Drosophila melanogaster: one gene and its partners. The protein of the gene in region 1 interacts with the protein of each later gene in a pairwise test. Each region holds a gene or a part of one and is shown in the gene's direction. Other genes may lie near its edges. The genes, in order: CG6576, CG13067, CG14313 and ssp.

Region 1 (4,050 bases):
CGCATAAATAAAGCGCGAGCCTCGCGTCCGATTCTGTCGCATTCGCCGGCTGCATTCCCAAATAGATCGGGGCGCTATAGTCTATATCTGCTCGTATGCCCTATAGGCATCGACAGTATATATCCCAAACCTGCCCGGTGCGTGCCGGTGGATTATGTAAAGTGACACACGGCCGATCCCGATACCGATCTCGGAGTATCGCCCAGCGCAAATAAAAGCAAAGGAAATAATAGTTTACTTAGCAGAAAAGAAATAAATACAATAAAATAAAATTGAATAAAATAGGGGAATGCAGAGAGAGTGTCGTAGAAATTTGTCGCACGCGCGCGATTTCAGTAAGTGCATCTAATTTATTTTGCATCTATTGCAATTGAGAGTCGGCATCCGGCAGATACGTTTTCGTAATTGTCGTCAGCGGTTCGAGTTCCTCCGTTTCGATCTCGCGCGAGTGTTTGCCAGATTGGATTACCAAACCCAGGCCATACCAAAATAAATTATACACCAATTTTGAAAGGGCGATAAACATACATTGTGACCGAATTTTGATCCGATCTGCGATCGAGGATCGCTTGCCAAGAGCAACGTAATGTCGTCCTACCGCAGTTATGTAAGTACTAGTTAATGCAGCGCCAACTATCCGTATCTGTATCTGCATAATACCTACTCGTACTATATAGTGTGTATCTCGATCTTTGTATCTTCGCTCTGTGCCTTTTTGCAATTCTTCGCATCCACGGATTTTGTTTATTTCTAATTTGTTGCCTTACCCCACACACAAGAGTATTTCGCAGATACATACGTATACGTTTTATATGGCAGATAAAATGTATCTGAATGTTCGCTCTCGATGTGGTGTGGGCTCCAGATCCATTGATAAACAATTTAGATACAAATTTGCTCATTGTCTGGTTTTTTGGTTGGGATTTGTGTCTAGTTGATTGTTCTAATTTCCTATCCACACAAATAGCACAAATTATGGCCGAGGTGTGGCTACTGAATGAACGAATTGTTGTGTTTGAATAGCAAACCAATGCATGAATAAATGGCTTTTACTTTGGCAAAGCAGGTTAAGTTCCGAATTTTAAACCTATTTAACTTGATTTATGTTAGTATTTGCGTATATGCACAGTTGTCAAAGGAATTAATTTTGAGTTATTTGACATACTTTATGGCAGATTCATTATTGATACTGACCAATGACTGACAGTTCCCAAGTAAACATTTTGTGTTATTTATTGAACTTATCATCATATTTATTTATATTATTAACCCGTTCGACATCATGTGATACTTGTGAACTTTTATATAAAAAGTGCATTATTTCTATATCTATCCTATAATATAAATACACTTAATTTCGGTTGTCATTCCCAAACTTCCAAATCGCTTTCTACTAATCCCCTTTATGTTCAACTCATTATATCCTTTTGTTCCCAGGCATCCAGTTTATGACTTTAGCCTGACTTTTGACTCATTGAGCATAAATCAATTAAATATTTTTCGGGTCTTAGAATCTAATAAACTGATCAATTTATGGGCGGCAAACAACAAGTTTCCACCCCATCCCACGCACATCTACCACTTCATCTTCTCCCGAGTCATTTCTCCAATTATATATAGAATGTTTCTAAAAATGTTGGGAGTAAAGCAAAATGATTTCTGTTTCGTTCACGTTGACGCAGTCTCTTTTTTCCTCATTGGAGTTGGTACTTTGTGTAGGATTTTTATGGCCAGAAGGAAGTTGTAAATATTTATGACAAGCATAAAGTTGAAAGTTCTCCGGTGAGAGCACGCACCACCTAATTAATTAACAAAGTGTGAATACTCATGCAATTTGTTTGTGAGGGGAGAAAGTAGGGGAACGGTAATGGAGAAACAATAAAGTTGCAAATATAACTAAAGCTTTTAACTTCATATTCAAAAAAAATAAGTATATATTATCATATAACTAAATTTATATTCATAATGTATTAGCGAAAGCGGTAATGATTAAACATTGTTTCGATTATTGATTTCATTAGAAATATCTCTACTCGTCACACACAATGCGATCACAATCAGTTTTCATTTGAATTATTCATCAAAACAGATCAAAATTTGTTGTAGTGTAGCACAAAGGAAGGCGGTGATAGGCGCTTCTCAAATAGGCTTCGAGATAAGGATTTATGAATCAAGCTATCTGAGTCCGAGATTATCCACGCACACTCACCCGTCCACCCAACTGCCACCCAAGCCCCCCACAACACTCGAACACAGACACAAGTCAAGGACATTTTTTGATAAAAAGATAAAAAATGACACGGCGTCGACGTCCACGATGTAAGGTGAATCCCTCGATAGCGCTGAGAAAGAAGAAACAGGAGACTGCACCCAGTGCAGAAAAGGTAGAGCCACAACGTCCACCGCCCTTGCCGGATCCGCCCAGCGAAGAGCCACCGGAAGTCGTCAGCACTTCGAGCGTAGAATCTGAAATCGAATCGGATTACAAACTCTTCCCGGAACTCTACGATCGCCAGCCGTCGATGCCCACGTTTGCTGATCTTTTTGGTCAGCCCTCTTATGAATCAGTGTTGCAGGAGCCCGAGGTGGCATCTACCTCCTCCTCAACGAACACAAATGCCGCGGGAATACGTAGTACAGACGATGGGAAATTCACTAATATTCCGGCCACGATGCTGTCAGATCAATTTGGGATCATTGGGCTGCTGGCCGCCATGAGGACTACGCAAACGGATCCGGGCGCCACGCAGCTGGTCTTTGGTGAGGATCTAACCACCTACGGACTAGATTTGGCTGCCCAGGGAGACATTTATGTGCATTTCAATGGGCCTCTAACCCGCGAACCACCTGACAGAAATTCCATGGACTGCGCCCTTGAGATGGGAATGCGTGCCATGCGTGATTCGATTATCAATGAACCACCGAAGGCTCCGTGTTGGGATCCATTTGAGCCAGAGACCCAAGATCTGGGACTTGTGGGCAGTCTTGAACCGGATGAGTTTACGAAATCCGATCCAGATACGGAAACGGATCCACCGCCAACTACTGATTTGACTGAAGATCCGGAAACGGATCGAGATGATAATCAGTATAGATAACACATTTGGAATCGGCGCCAAGGATAAAAAAGAAAGACTAGTCCCAAATAGAATAGCAATTTGGCAGTTGGTTAGATCTTTGAATACTTGGTAAAATTGTTGATCTTCGTGAATTGGTAGCCCTTCTGTATAAGAACTTGTTTGGCTTTAAATATAGAATTGGCTGAGGAGTAAAAACGGGAATAATTATTTGTTACGAAAAAAAGTGCGATTTAGTTATTTAAAATAAGGTTCGATTTAGTACATATATGTAAATATCGAAAAAAATTAATAAACATTCGGAAAATATCGAAAATGAATAAGCTCGGAATTGATTATAACTCATAAATTGGTTATAATCACTATAATTTTCAGATTAACTAATTTAATTTGTTTGGAAATTTATGTTTGAACGACTTTCTGGGGTTGAATATTTCATTATCCTTTTAAGCGCCGATCTCCACATAGTTGAGTTTCCCGAAACGCATTTTCGACACTTTCGTCAGAGCAAACTACAATAGAAAACGTATTTAAAAATAAATCATTTGTCTGGCAAGCGAATATTCAGTCGCCACTTCGAATCATCTGGGGTCACAGTCTAAATACTTTGTGAGTGGATGGCTTTCCTGGTCGTTCTTAATGGGCTGTGGCTACTGACAGACAGGCGCATTATAGCGCATCCTGCTCCTGATCTGCAGACTCCGAGATTCTGCAATCTCCTAATTGAGACCGCATAATAATGCTGTCAGAAGTGCAGCACTCCGCTGGAATCGGCGGTGAACAAAGTACACATGGCGAAGTCATTCCAGAGAAGATCCATAGGCCCATCCACATCCACACCATCACGATCCTCCACTCTTTTTCTCCTCCGGCTGAGTGTCTCCGTTTGCTTGTTTTGCACATTGTTGGCTATTTGTGTGTTTGGCATTCCATTTCACTGAGCGAAAACAATTAGCCGAGACTGTCTGTCTTT
Region 2 (3,283 bases), 7.5 Mb from region 1:
CGGCCAATTGAGCTACTGAAAGGCCGCTCTGCATTCCCATGCAGGTGGTATAGAATCATTCGCCCCATTATCGTGTGTGCCCAGAAAGTCAAAAGCATCTATGCGATTTCCCGGTGCTATAAAAGTTGCATGTCGGATCGAATCAAGTCATAGTCCAATTTGCTAGCTCAAATCAAACTAAACTAAACCATCATGTTCAAGCTGGTGAGTTGGTGGTTTCTCCATATGGATACAGATATCTGGAGTATTATATTAACTGGTTATTTCCGTACAGTCTGCCCTCGTTGTCCTGTGCGCTCTGGTGGCCTGCTCCTCGGCTGAGCCCAAGCCCGCTATCCTGGCCGCCGCTCCAGTGGTTGCAGCTGCTCCTGCCGGCGTGGTCACCGCTACCAGTTCGCAGTACGTGGCCCGCAACTTCAACGGTGTGGCTGCTGCTCCAGTTGTTGCCGCTGCCTACACCGCTCCAGTTGCCGCCGCTGCCTATACCGCTCCAGTTGCCGCCGCTGCTTATACCGCTCCAGTTGCCGCTGCCTACTCTGCTTATCCGTATGCCGCCTACCCTTACAGCGCTGCATACACCACTGTTTTGTAAAACGGATTAACAAGTATTCAAAACGGATTTGAAATGGAATAAAAATAGACCCGACTGGCAATAAAACAAATCAAACTAAAAGCTTAAAAATATTATTCTGGAAATGGGAACACCAAGTTCTGTTTTTCAATAGCAAAAAAGCTATAGTTATATATTATTAATACTTTTTAATGGATTTTCTACTATTAATTATTATTTCTCAATCTTTTGGCGGCAACAAAAGTTCTTGATAGTATTTAAAAAGAAAGTCACCTAAACATATACGTTTTTTATAATTAATATTTTTTTACTGTCACCTTTTCTAAACCTTTTGTTCTGGCAGCGTCTGTTCTGCCCACTTAAAATGCGGAAATGTAGCCCGAAAAAATACCAATTCAGTTGCGTCATCATCCATTGACAAATCACAGATGGCAAAAGTGATAGATTTCTCGAAATGTATAGGTAACCGGCATCTCTGGTAGGAGAATCACGTGTTGGCCATTTAAAAATTGCCGACTGAAAGTTGCGTCAACCCGAATAAATAATTATGCATGTGCGTGTCTAAAAATATATTTCTGGCTTAAAGCGGGCAATAACGAGTAAAATAGCAACCATAACAGGGAAAGGATTCAACAGGAGGGACAACAGTGTCCTTTGACCACCTTATGGCCAGTGGGAGGACGCTCCCCTAGGCAGCCACTATGTGGACGGGAATGGAGTTGCTGTAGCGTCCGAATGGCAGCCACGCAGCTGGGTAGAACAAAGGATAGCTCGGCGGCGGTGCAGAGCCCACAAGTGGTGGTGGCCCCAGTGGTGGTGGGGGAACAGCAGCTCCAGCTGCCTGGCGGGGCGGTGGTGGAGCAGCCCGATGGGCAGGCGGCACATCGATCTCCTCGGCAGCATCCTGGATCTGACCCGCGGCCGCCAGGTGGATCAGAAGGAGGAGCACCACCTGAAATGGCCACCGATGGCGAGGCCTCATCATCTTTGAGCAAGTGCATCGACTTCTCGGCGGATAACCGCTTGAGACTTACTAATTTCCTGTACATAGCTAATCCGAGCTGATAAGATCTGATAGCTCAACGTTCTGAAAACGAAATAAACATGACTGGAGCGACAGAACCCAGCTTTATAAATTTCTGAACCCAACCCGGCAGTTTTTGTGGGTCATTTCCAGACTTGCCGATGGATGGATCAATATCCAGCTACGTTTTAGTATGCAAAACACGGACTCACATTCGATTTGTTTTTCGCTTTTCGTCACGCTTTTAAAAATACCAAACGAAACCAAAAGTGCAAAGCCATAATGCTCAAGATTCTCCTTGGCTGGCTTCAAAATGGACTTGGAACCGATCTGGGAATGGATGTGCATACCAATGGCCACGCATCACCTTCGCTTCAATGTGGGGAATTGGAATGGAATTTTCTCGACCGATTCTGCTATATATACCCGAGTACTCGGGCACTAGGAGATATCAGTCTAGTACTTGAGAACCAACAGTTCACAACCAACCCAAACAGCCAACATGTTCAAATACGTAAGGATCGCAGGATAGCTGGACTTGCCACCAAACAACGGATTACTCATAAGCACTTTTCCTATCCTTTCAGTTCGCTCTGTGCCTGTTCGCCATCGTGGCCTGCGTCTCTGCCAAGCCGGCGGTGCTCGCTTCTCCTCTGGCCTACAGCGCCTACTCCGCTCCCTATGTGGCAGCTGCTCCTTACTCGGCTGCCTACACCGCGGCATACACCGCTCCAGTGGCCGCCGCCTACTCCGCCTACACGTACCCCTATGCGTCCGCCTACTCCGCCTACCCCTATGCCGCCTACTACCGTTAAGACTGGATGAATGGATCGTGATCTTAACCTGACTGCTGAACTGGACCTGAATATAAACATATACACATCTATTGCAACAAGGATACACACCTTCCTGCTAACCACCTGCAACATCCAATCTTCTTACATCCCTGGTGTTAGTTCGACAGACTCTACATTTCCCCACCTCTGCCGACTGCTGAAAGTTAAGTCATGGGAACAGGACATACCACTTCAAGAAAGGGAATATTTTTGTTGAAATAAATACTGCATTTTGCGTAAAACGTATACCACTTGTTCATAATTTATTGCATCACTTATTCATCTCTAATGTGAAGGGAGTATGTATAATCACATACTTTTAGGCAGTACTCTTTTGCAATGGGTACTAAGTACTAAATTTGGTATACATTAAAATCCAATGGAAATATTATTTATAAAGTAGGTGATATCATATTTTCAGTAAATATTTCTCACACTAGTTTCATAAATTGCTAGCCCCTACATTTTTTAATTTTGGTGGGCTGGAAGGAATCAATGACTTTTTTAAGCTTTGTATCAATAAATTGCTTTGATACATTGGAAATTATTTTTTGGACTTAAAACCTATTATTTGTTAAAAAAAAAGGAAGTGTAAAGGAGGTTGTGTTCTTCGTGGTGGAATGTCCATGTTTGCATTGGATTAATAGGGTCAACGAGACCTCCGGTTTATTGAACTCGCGATTCCATTTATGCAAAGCTTTCGATTCCCTGTTTCTGGTGTCCTCAACCTTAAGCCAAGGGCTCAACTCGATGACGTCCTTCGAAACTGGATAAACCGCTTCTATTTTTACTTGCATCTCTGATTAGAATGCAAAGTGGCGTGTTCGAGTGGCTGACAATTGAAACGTACAG
Region 3 (3,815 bases), on another chromosome or scaffold:
CTTGAGATAATACTGAAATGTAATGAAAACAAAACCAAGCAACAAAAACTGTAATCGTAATGAACAAACAAATGCGGTCGAATATTCGTAAGTCGGACTAGATCTATGTAACGAATATAGTTCGCCTTGCGGACATTCGACTGTTTGCTTAAAGTAATGTTAAACATGTATGCAACAAGTTTAGTGAGCCTTGTGTTTAGTTTAGTTGTTGCAAGCACTCACCTCACTGCAAACTCCCAAGATCCCAATAATACCGATTCAATTCACTTGCTCATGTAGAAATCAGACCATACCACATAATCGCAGTTCAATTGTTTTTGTTTTTTTTTTTTATCTTAGCAAGGCAGCAAAACGAAAGCAAGCATATGAATGGTATAATTAAAATGATATACATAATACCTAGTTGGAGTATATAGTTAGCATTATTGGACTTGTATATGGAGATAGTCTGTAACCAACCACACTCATTCACGTGCACTCATCTTGAACTGCGCTCCATTTTACAAAATGTGGTCAATGTGTCTAGATCGTTTGGCTTGGCCCAAATTTTATTCGTTTTCGATTCAATTCTCAACTCTAATTGTACAAATTGTGAACGCGTCCGTTTGTTTCCTTACGCTTACGCTATTCAGTCTGCCGTCTGTTTGTTTGGTTTGTTTCGTTCAAAAAACGTATTTGTTGTATTGTTTTGTGTCTTTTTGTCTCAACCATTTGTCGTGTATATGCGTTCGTATGTATTTATATATATTTTAACCAAACAACTAAAATGAAAATCGTTATTTAAGTTCCTTCCAAACGGCGAGCAATAATACCATTTGTATGGCATGAGCATGAGATACAATGCGATATGTACTGTACGATTTTCCTCACTTTGGAGAGCGGCAGCAGTTTGCACTCGTTTCGATTTCCTCACGACGGCATTGTGTGTGCATTAGGGCAGCGAATGAAAATTATATGAAAAGCTAGCTATATGTAAACCTTATATATATATAGACAGAAGCAGAAGCCGATACAGATGTAGCCTATTGTATGCACTAATTTATTGCAAAATAGCTACGCGTATAACTATAAGATTTAGCTGTTTAATATGCATATAAAAGTATATAATATATATTTCGTAAAGCAAAAAAGCAGCGCAGATGCAGCAAACAATTGTAGAAATCATAATCTAATGAAAAGTTTACTTCAAATATCACACTTAACTTGAATGCTGTACAAACAAAAGTCTTAAAGTGCATAAAACATATATATATATATAAATAAATCTAATATATACACATTGTATATGTCTGTGCTAGCATCCTTTTAGCGATACAGCAGCACACTTAGCATTCATAGAGAAACCAACCAACCAACCAACCCGATCCCGAACCCCTATAGTAGCATTAGAAACGAAGCTAATCTATAAGCCCAGCAACATAAACAAATCAAAAGGAATATATACACAAACGGAGAAACTAATTTCTTTGGAGCAAAACACAGACACACACACCACAAACTACACACACCCACACACACACACACACAAATCAATTGATAAATTAATTAAACAAGAAAAATGGAAAAGTCTATTTTAAATATTGTATATGTTTAATGTGTCGGAATTTATAATACGATCGAGAGCGGAGTGGAGAAATTTATAGTATGTGCTGCATGAATTATATCTAAATTATAGTATGGAATGCAAGCGAAAAAACTTAAATAGTGACTAAGTTAAATTTATTTACTAACGCTTTGGGTTTGAGCGTTTCAATTGCTGGATCTATAAAAACCACAAACAAAAAAAATAAATTATATAAGTGTAATGGAGCGGAATTAAGTAAACAAAAGGTATAAGTCGCCCCAACAACAAATAATAAAAACAAAAAAATTGCAAAAAGTAACACGGAAAAATCGAAAAAAAATAATGAAGGGAATACAAAACAAAAAACCGATTGAATATGGAATATGTTTAAATAAGTATTTTAGTGTTAATTATACAATTTACAAGTACACAACACAAACAAAACAACAACAATATAATATAAAAATGAAATAAAGTTTTAAAACAATATTTGTAAAAAGTAAAGAAATAGAAGCGTTTTTTTTAAGGGTTTCAAAATGGATTCTAAAACTAGGATTTTAAAGTTAGAGTATCTATAAGATACCATTTAATTAGAAGATATGTAGGTGATCTTAGTGATCATAACTATTCTCCGAGGGATAGTGACAGCTTAACATTGATTTAGCCACAACATCCACTTGGTCATCCATAATCGCCTGCTATTTGCAATCACAACACCGCCAGTTGGAGCCAATCTGCTGATTGCATACATCATCAAAGAGATTTCAGTTCCCGCTGGCAGTAATTGAACAATTTTGCAGAAACGCGTGTGGCCGGCTGGCTGGCTTGACTATCTGCCTATCTGGCTCTGGCTGAGACAATTGGTCCGGCACACGCACATGCCTAATGAATGAACACCAGCGAGCGGTCAGGGAACGGGTGTAGGGCTACCACCAGGTTGTCGGGGCAACCGGCCGTTCGATTGTGGCCCATACAAATGGTGGGAGCTGGATACACACAGCGACTGGACACTGGCAGCGTGTTGACGTTGGTTTGGCTTGGCGCTGCACAAAATCAATAGGTTCAGCAGAAGTGTGTGGAACCATGCAAATACAGCGAAGTTCATCCGGCGGCTGCTAGCGAGATCAGTAAATCGAGTACGGCCACCAGACCCATAAATGCGGCAAAGTGGCGTCCTGTTTTTACACTTGCATGGGTCTGATGCGGACAGTTGGCGGCGCCAGCGATGCACAGCTGCCGGAGGAGGCGGTGTCTACGCTCAATCATTGCCCGACCTACCGACAGATTCCAGGTGCCGGAACGGGCGCAGGATCAGCGCCAGCCAAGCGAGTACCCGTCCTGTTTTCCACCAACCGTGGACTCTATCTGCGCCTGGCCCAACCACTGGCAGATCAGATGGAGGTGATGACACTGCAGCCAAGCGGACAGAACTACAACATCAGCTTCTGCGATCTGGAGCGCTGGGTGAGTTCAATTTCGTAGGGAAGTAATCCGTGTACGGAGGTCACACAACTCTCTATCTCTCTCTGTCTGCAGAGCACCAATCGGGCGAATGTGGTCAGCCTGGAGGACACCTTTAGCATCATGCAGCAGCGCAATATGTCGCCGGAGTCTATGAACTACCAGCCACGCCTGTGGAAGAACAACGTCAGCTACAGCCTGATGCACTGAACTGAAAGCACCTCAATAGATTATATCTAAACATTGCAATAGCAGAAGTCTCGTATGTAAATTACAAATTTTTTTACTTTAATTAATTCTAATTTGATTTACAATCTAGTGGGTATGCATGTGACGGGTTTTCAGGCCGTGTTACTTGTCAGCGAGGCCATCAGAAACTCCATTTTGTTGAGAAAGCTCTTGCCTTCGATTTTGTCGAACCTCACCTAGAAACAAATCAAAATTAATGGCTCTGTTTTTTTTCGACTGCTTTCCAATAGTGGACTCACCTCCTTGAATGTGCCTCCCAGATTCTCCCATAGCTTTTCCGGCACCAGTGGACTGGGAAAGAAATCCTGTCGTGGACTTCTCGCTATATAAACTTTAACATCTATCTGCGGATCGCAGCGAATCTGAACGGCAATCATGCGATCGCTATTGGGAGATGCCAGAAGGCAGGAACTGGCATTTCCCAGCGGCTCCACCTTGCCGATACCCAAGTGGTTGCTGTTCGACAGCACGGTCCAGGACATGCAGCGCGCTAGACTGATCAGGCAGGAGATCTGGTGAGAGTTGATCTGGCAGAGGATCA
Region 4 (4,205 bases), 3.4 Mb from region 1:
AAGTTCTACGAGACCGTCTTCCTGGCGGAGGATTTGCAGCCGGAGGAAGTGAGTCCATCGCCCCACATGGGTTGTTGGGGTACTTACCCGGTTTTACCGAGTACAGCCACACACCAAATATCTTGTTTACCTATCCCACATGGGTGGCAATAGACCTGTTTACCTTTTCATAATGTGTTTTGGCACTACAAAGCGAGATTCGTTAAAACATGTGATAGGATATCAAATTTGACCTAATTTCTGTATGAAAGTCCACTTCAGTTACATAGTCCAACATGGACCACTAGCGAACATACTAAAATTCTAATTAATCACTCAGTAACCATGCTTCTAAACCAACTAACTCTTCTAGAATATAACACCAGAACGTCGTAAGCCAGGACCGCGCATGAAGAGCTCACTCCAAGCCCTGTTGAGCGATGAAGGATCACCGACGGGACCACAGCGAACCGCCAAGATAAACGTTGCACAGAAAATGGTCGTTGAGCCAGCGATCCGAGCCAATGGCATCTCGCCATTGCCCAAGAATGTTGGCAAGGAGGAAAAGTTTGAGGACTACTATACGAAAACGGAGCGACACGTTTGGAAAAAGGATGCGGAGAAGATGTTGCTGCAACTGTGGGCACAGCATTTGAAGGATTTTCGTGGAGAGTCCAAGAATGTGATCATCTACCGGCAAATGGCTAGGGAGATGAGTCAGTTTGGGCCCAGCCACACGGAGCTTAAAACCAAAATGGACAATTTGTCGCGAAAGTATAGGTGCGCTCTTATATTTTGCATACCAAAAGTTTTTATTTTTATAGTATATTAACTTTTATATTGGTATTTACAGAATAGAAGCTGAGAGAGTTCGGGAAACTGGAGTGCCATCCAAGTGGGAGCACTTTCATAAGCTTCAAGCACTTCTGATTGGCACGAAATCAGTTGATGTCTTCGAAGATATTACCGCCGAAAATCCAGGTAAAGTCGTAGTGCAATAAATGCTAGTTATGTCATTATGTCTTAAAAATACGCTAATTTTACAGCTCAAGCTTTGTTCAGCGATGAGGATTATGAGCCTGAGGAATTGTCTTCATTAAAAGACGAGCCTATGGCCGGGGACGATGGGAACGTATTCGAAAGTGATATGGTTGCTAGCAAAGCCATGAAAAGAACGCGAACTCCCTCTCCCAGTATTCCGGAAATCCCGGAAGAAGACGAGGAGGAGGAGGAGGAGGAGGAGGATGATGACCACATGAAGGATCTCTCCCCATCGCCAATTTCAAAATGTCAGACAAAACGGAAAGCATCGAACAACCATTCGGACAGACTCCTTGAAATAGAGGAGGAAAAACTGGCGATCGAGCGAGAAAAGCTGCAGGTTATGAAGGATGCACTGCTGGAGCTAAACGCATTTCACAAAGATATTGTTTATTTGCTTAAGCATAACAATCAGTAGTGTAAATATTAAGTGTTATACGTAGAAGTAGCGTGGTGTTACTTTTTCAGCAAAATATACAACTAAAACAGTGAATATTTAATGTAATATTGCTTCAACTTCAAATTAATCTAAATATATATATATATATTGTAAAAAGCTAGATTTTGCATTGTTATGATCTTACAAATTAGTTTCTTAAGTAAAAATAAATGCAATGAAATTATATTTTACTTTTTTTAGCAAAACTTTAATTACTTACTTTACTTTAATATTATAAATTTGTTTTAAATCGTATTTGTTACATTTAGTTTCTCAATTCGTAAAATGTTTTTTTATTTGTATTTTAGATATAATTTAAATCGATATCATAGAACTATCGATAGATATATGAAGCCAATACCGACCATTTCTAGAAAAATCGATATCGAGCTGCTGCCCATCTCTAGGCACATTTTGTTTATACTTTTCGAGCGTAAGGACGACATGATTGAGGCCCGCACGATGCAGGACGTATCAAAATTCGAATCCAACCAGGTGATCTCGGCGAAGGTGCTCCGCGGCGAGTACCGGCTACTACGACGCAAGCAGCGCGGCTCCGTGTGGAAGGTGTATCGGGAAATCGTGCGCACCGATGGTGCCATAATCAATGGACTCTACTTCTGCACGGGCTGCAAGCGCGTCATGCGATCCTTCAACACGTCCAATCTGCGCACCCACAAGTGCCATGTGGACTACCTGCGTACCGAGGAACTGTGCGAGGAGGGGATCGCGGAAATCCATCCCCCTAAACTAGACGTACGTACAACGACGCCATTAGAAGTCAATAGTAGTCCAAATTACCATGTCTCACTTGCAGGATTCGTTGGAGCGCCGCCTGAGCTGGAACTCCTTTCAGCCGTCCGAGTGGTCATTCCACGCGGTCGAACTGCTGCTCGAGCTTTGGGCAAGGCACTGCGTCGATTTGCGAGACTCACGCAAGCGGGTCCAGGTTATCTGGAAAATGACGGGCGAGATGAAGTCACTGGGTTTCACGTTCACGGAGATAAAGAACAAAATTGATGACATGGGCCAACAGTATCGGTAATAAGTGAATATACTTATTTAAGCATATTCCTTATCTAATATTACAATTTATTTCAGGCGAGAATCGCACATGGAAAAGACAACTGGACACAAATCCCAGTGGGAATACTTCGAGACCATGAAGATGATATTTAGTTCCGATCGTAACATAATTGACAATATGCCTCTGGATAAGTCTGGAAGTGCACCCAATACGACCAGCGAACACAATTCATTTGGCAGTCAACTTGACGAACCATTGATAGATAGGAACTACTTAAGGTCCCAAAAAGTACACCCTGGAGAAGGGGATAGCTTCGATATGAACGAATATGCGGATGAAGCACAAGAAGACGTGGATGAACTGCGTATTCTGAAGGATAACATAATCAGGGAAATCGAAGAGTCGTCCACAGTTCATTCCCAGGAAAACTATGAAGACGAGCTCGATCAACAGAATTCCAAGACCGAGGACATGAAAATTGCTAAGCGTCAAAGAGCTGCCAGAATTATGGAAATAGAGGAGGAAAAGCTGGTCATAGAGAGGAAAAAATGCAAACTGATGAAATTTTTCGTGCGAGAGATGTCGTCGTTTCATAAGGACTTCATGGATCTTCTATCTAATCCCAAAGGCGGCGCACATGCATAAATACCTGTTCGCGATTTGAGTGATTGCACAATAAAGTTCATTTCCACCGTTATTAACGTAAACTTAAAAGGCATCACATTCAACGAATTTTTAAAAAAATCATGTAACAGAAAGTTTAAATATCTCATTTCGGCAGTCACTCAATTTTTTATTTCAAATACGAATAAGTATAAAATGATTTGTGATTCATTGCGTTTTATTACAATTCAGCAGATATGTTTAAGATTTAATAAAATGAAGTCGTAATATCTTCGCCGTTTATATAATTTATTTATATATAAACCATGTATATCTGAAATTTGAAACGAAAAGTAGTGAAATAACTATTAATTTGATTGGTTTTAGAATATTTGTTGTAGATGACATTATATGTATTTTATTTTTTTAATTGTGTGGTTAATATTTTTTCTTTTCCTATTAAATTAAATTCGATACATGGTATTACATAGAATGTCGATATCGATTGTAATCGAACATCGCAACCAACTCACCGGTGATGCCACCTGGTTCGGAGCTCTGTGTTTTTAATTTTTTTTACTATGACCATAAGGATTGCGAGGCGAAATATGTTTTTCATACACGCCCCCGAGGAGGAGAAGTGCATGGAGGCGCAGCTGGACATCCTTATGAAGATCAACTCCGGTGAATATCGGCTGGTGAAGAAGAACAAGCGCAGTTCCGTTTGGAACGTCTACCGGGAAATCGCTCGTCCGGACGGCACCAAGTTGAAATGGCGATACTTCTGCATGGGCTGCAAGCGTGTGATGCAGAGCACCGGCGGCACCACCTCCAATCTGCGCATCCACAAGTGCCACGTACGGTATATCAAGCAGAACGGCCATCTCACCGACGGCAGTCACTCCTACGACCATGATCCCGCGCCACCAGCTAGCCAACCGTCGCCGCGCGTCCAGAAACCGAAGACCAGGCGGCCGACATCCTATTCTACGCAGTGTGAGCAGTTCTATGAGGTCACCATGGATCCGGAGACCCAGTACAGCGATCTGGATGATGAGATTGAGGCTTCTTTGGAGGAGGAGCAGACTGTAAGTACTGCACTTTTATACCCATACA

What was found.
Region 2: the proteins of CG6576 (region 1) and CG13067 interact in a two-hybrid assay, tested with the Drosophila melanogaster proteins (one large-scale study listed by BioGRID).
Region 3: the proteins of CG6576 (region 1) and CG14313 interact in a two-hybrid assay, tested with the Drosophila melanogaster proteins (one large-scale study listed by BioGRID).
Region 4: the proteins of CG6576 (region 1) and ssp interact in a two-hybrid assay, tested with the Drosophila melanogaster proteins (one large-scale study listed by BioGRID).

Annotation. Positions count from the first base shown.
Region 1 is NT_037436.4:8,753,889-8,757,938, forward strand, and holds CG6576 (uncharacterized protein), read left to right. Parts: upstream 1-2,100; 5' UTR 2,101-2,294; coding exon 2,295-3,098; 3' UTR 3,099-3,279; downstream 3,280-4,050. Other genes in the region: Fhos (formin homology 2 domain containing), read left to right, coding at 587-607.
Region 2 is NT_037436.4:16,269,243-16,272,525, forward strand, and holds CG13067 (uncharacterized protein), read left to right. Parts: upstream 1-2,039; 5' UTR 2,040-2,097; coding exon 2,098-2,109; intron 2,110-2,182; coding exon 2,183-2,410; 3' UTR 2,411-2,676; downstream 2,677-3,283. Other genes in the region: CG13068 (uncharacterized protein), read left to right, coding at 193-204, 275-592; CG34248 (uncharacterized protein), read right to left, coding at 1,260-1,556.
Region 3 is NT_033777.3:18,190,744-18,194,558, reverse strand, and holds CG14313 (uncharacterized protein), read left to right. Parts: upstream 1-2,591; 5' UTR 2,592-2,755; coding exon 2,756-3,028; intron 3,029-3,100; coding exon 3,101-3,235; 3' UTR 3,236-3,315; downstream 3,316-3,815. Other genes in the region: MED17 (mediator complex subunit 17), read right to left, coding at 3,367-3,450, 3,514-3,815.
Region 4 is NT_037436.4:12,116,412-12,120,616, forward strand, and holds ssp (sunspot), read left to right. Parts: upstream 1-1,845; 5' UTR 1,846-1,903; coding exon 1,904-2,215; intron 2,216-2,276; coding exon 2,277-2,500; intron 2,501-2,560; coding exon 2,561-3,131; 3' UTR 3,132-3,378; downstream 3,379-4,205. Other genes in the region: vers (versatile), read left to right, coding at 1-48, 353-759, 833-960, 1,026-1,438; CG11560 (uncharacterized protein), read left to right, coding at 3,671-4,177.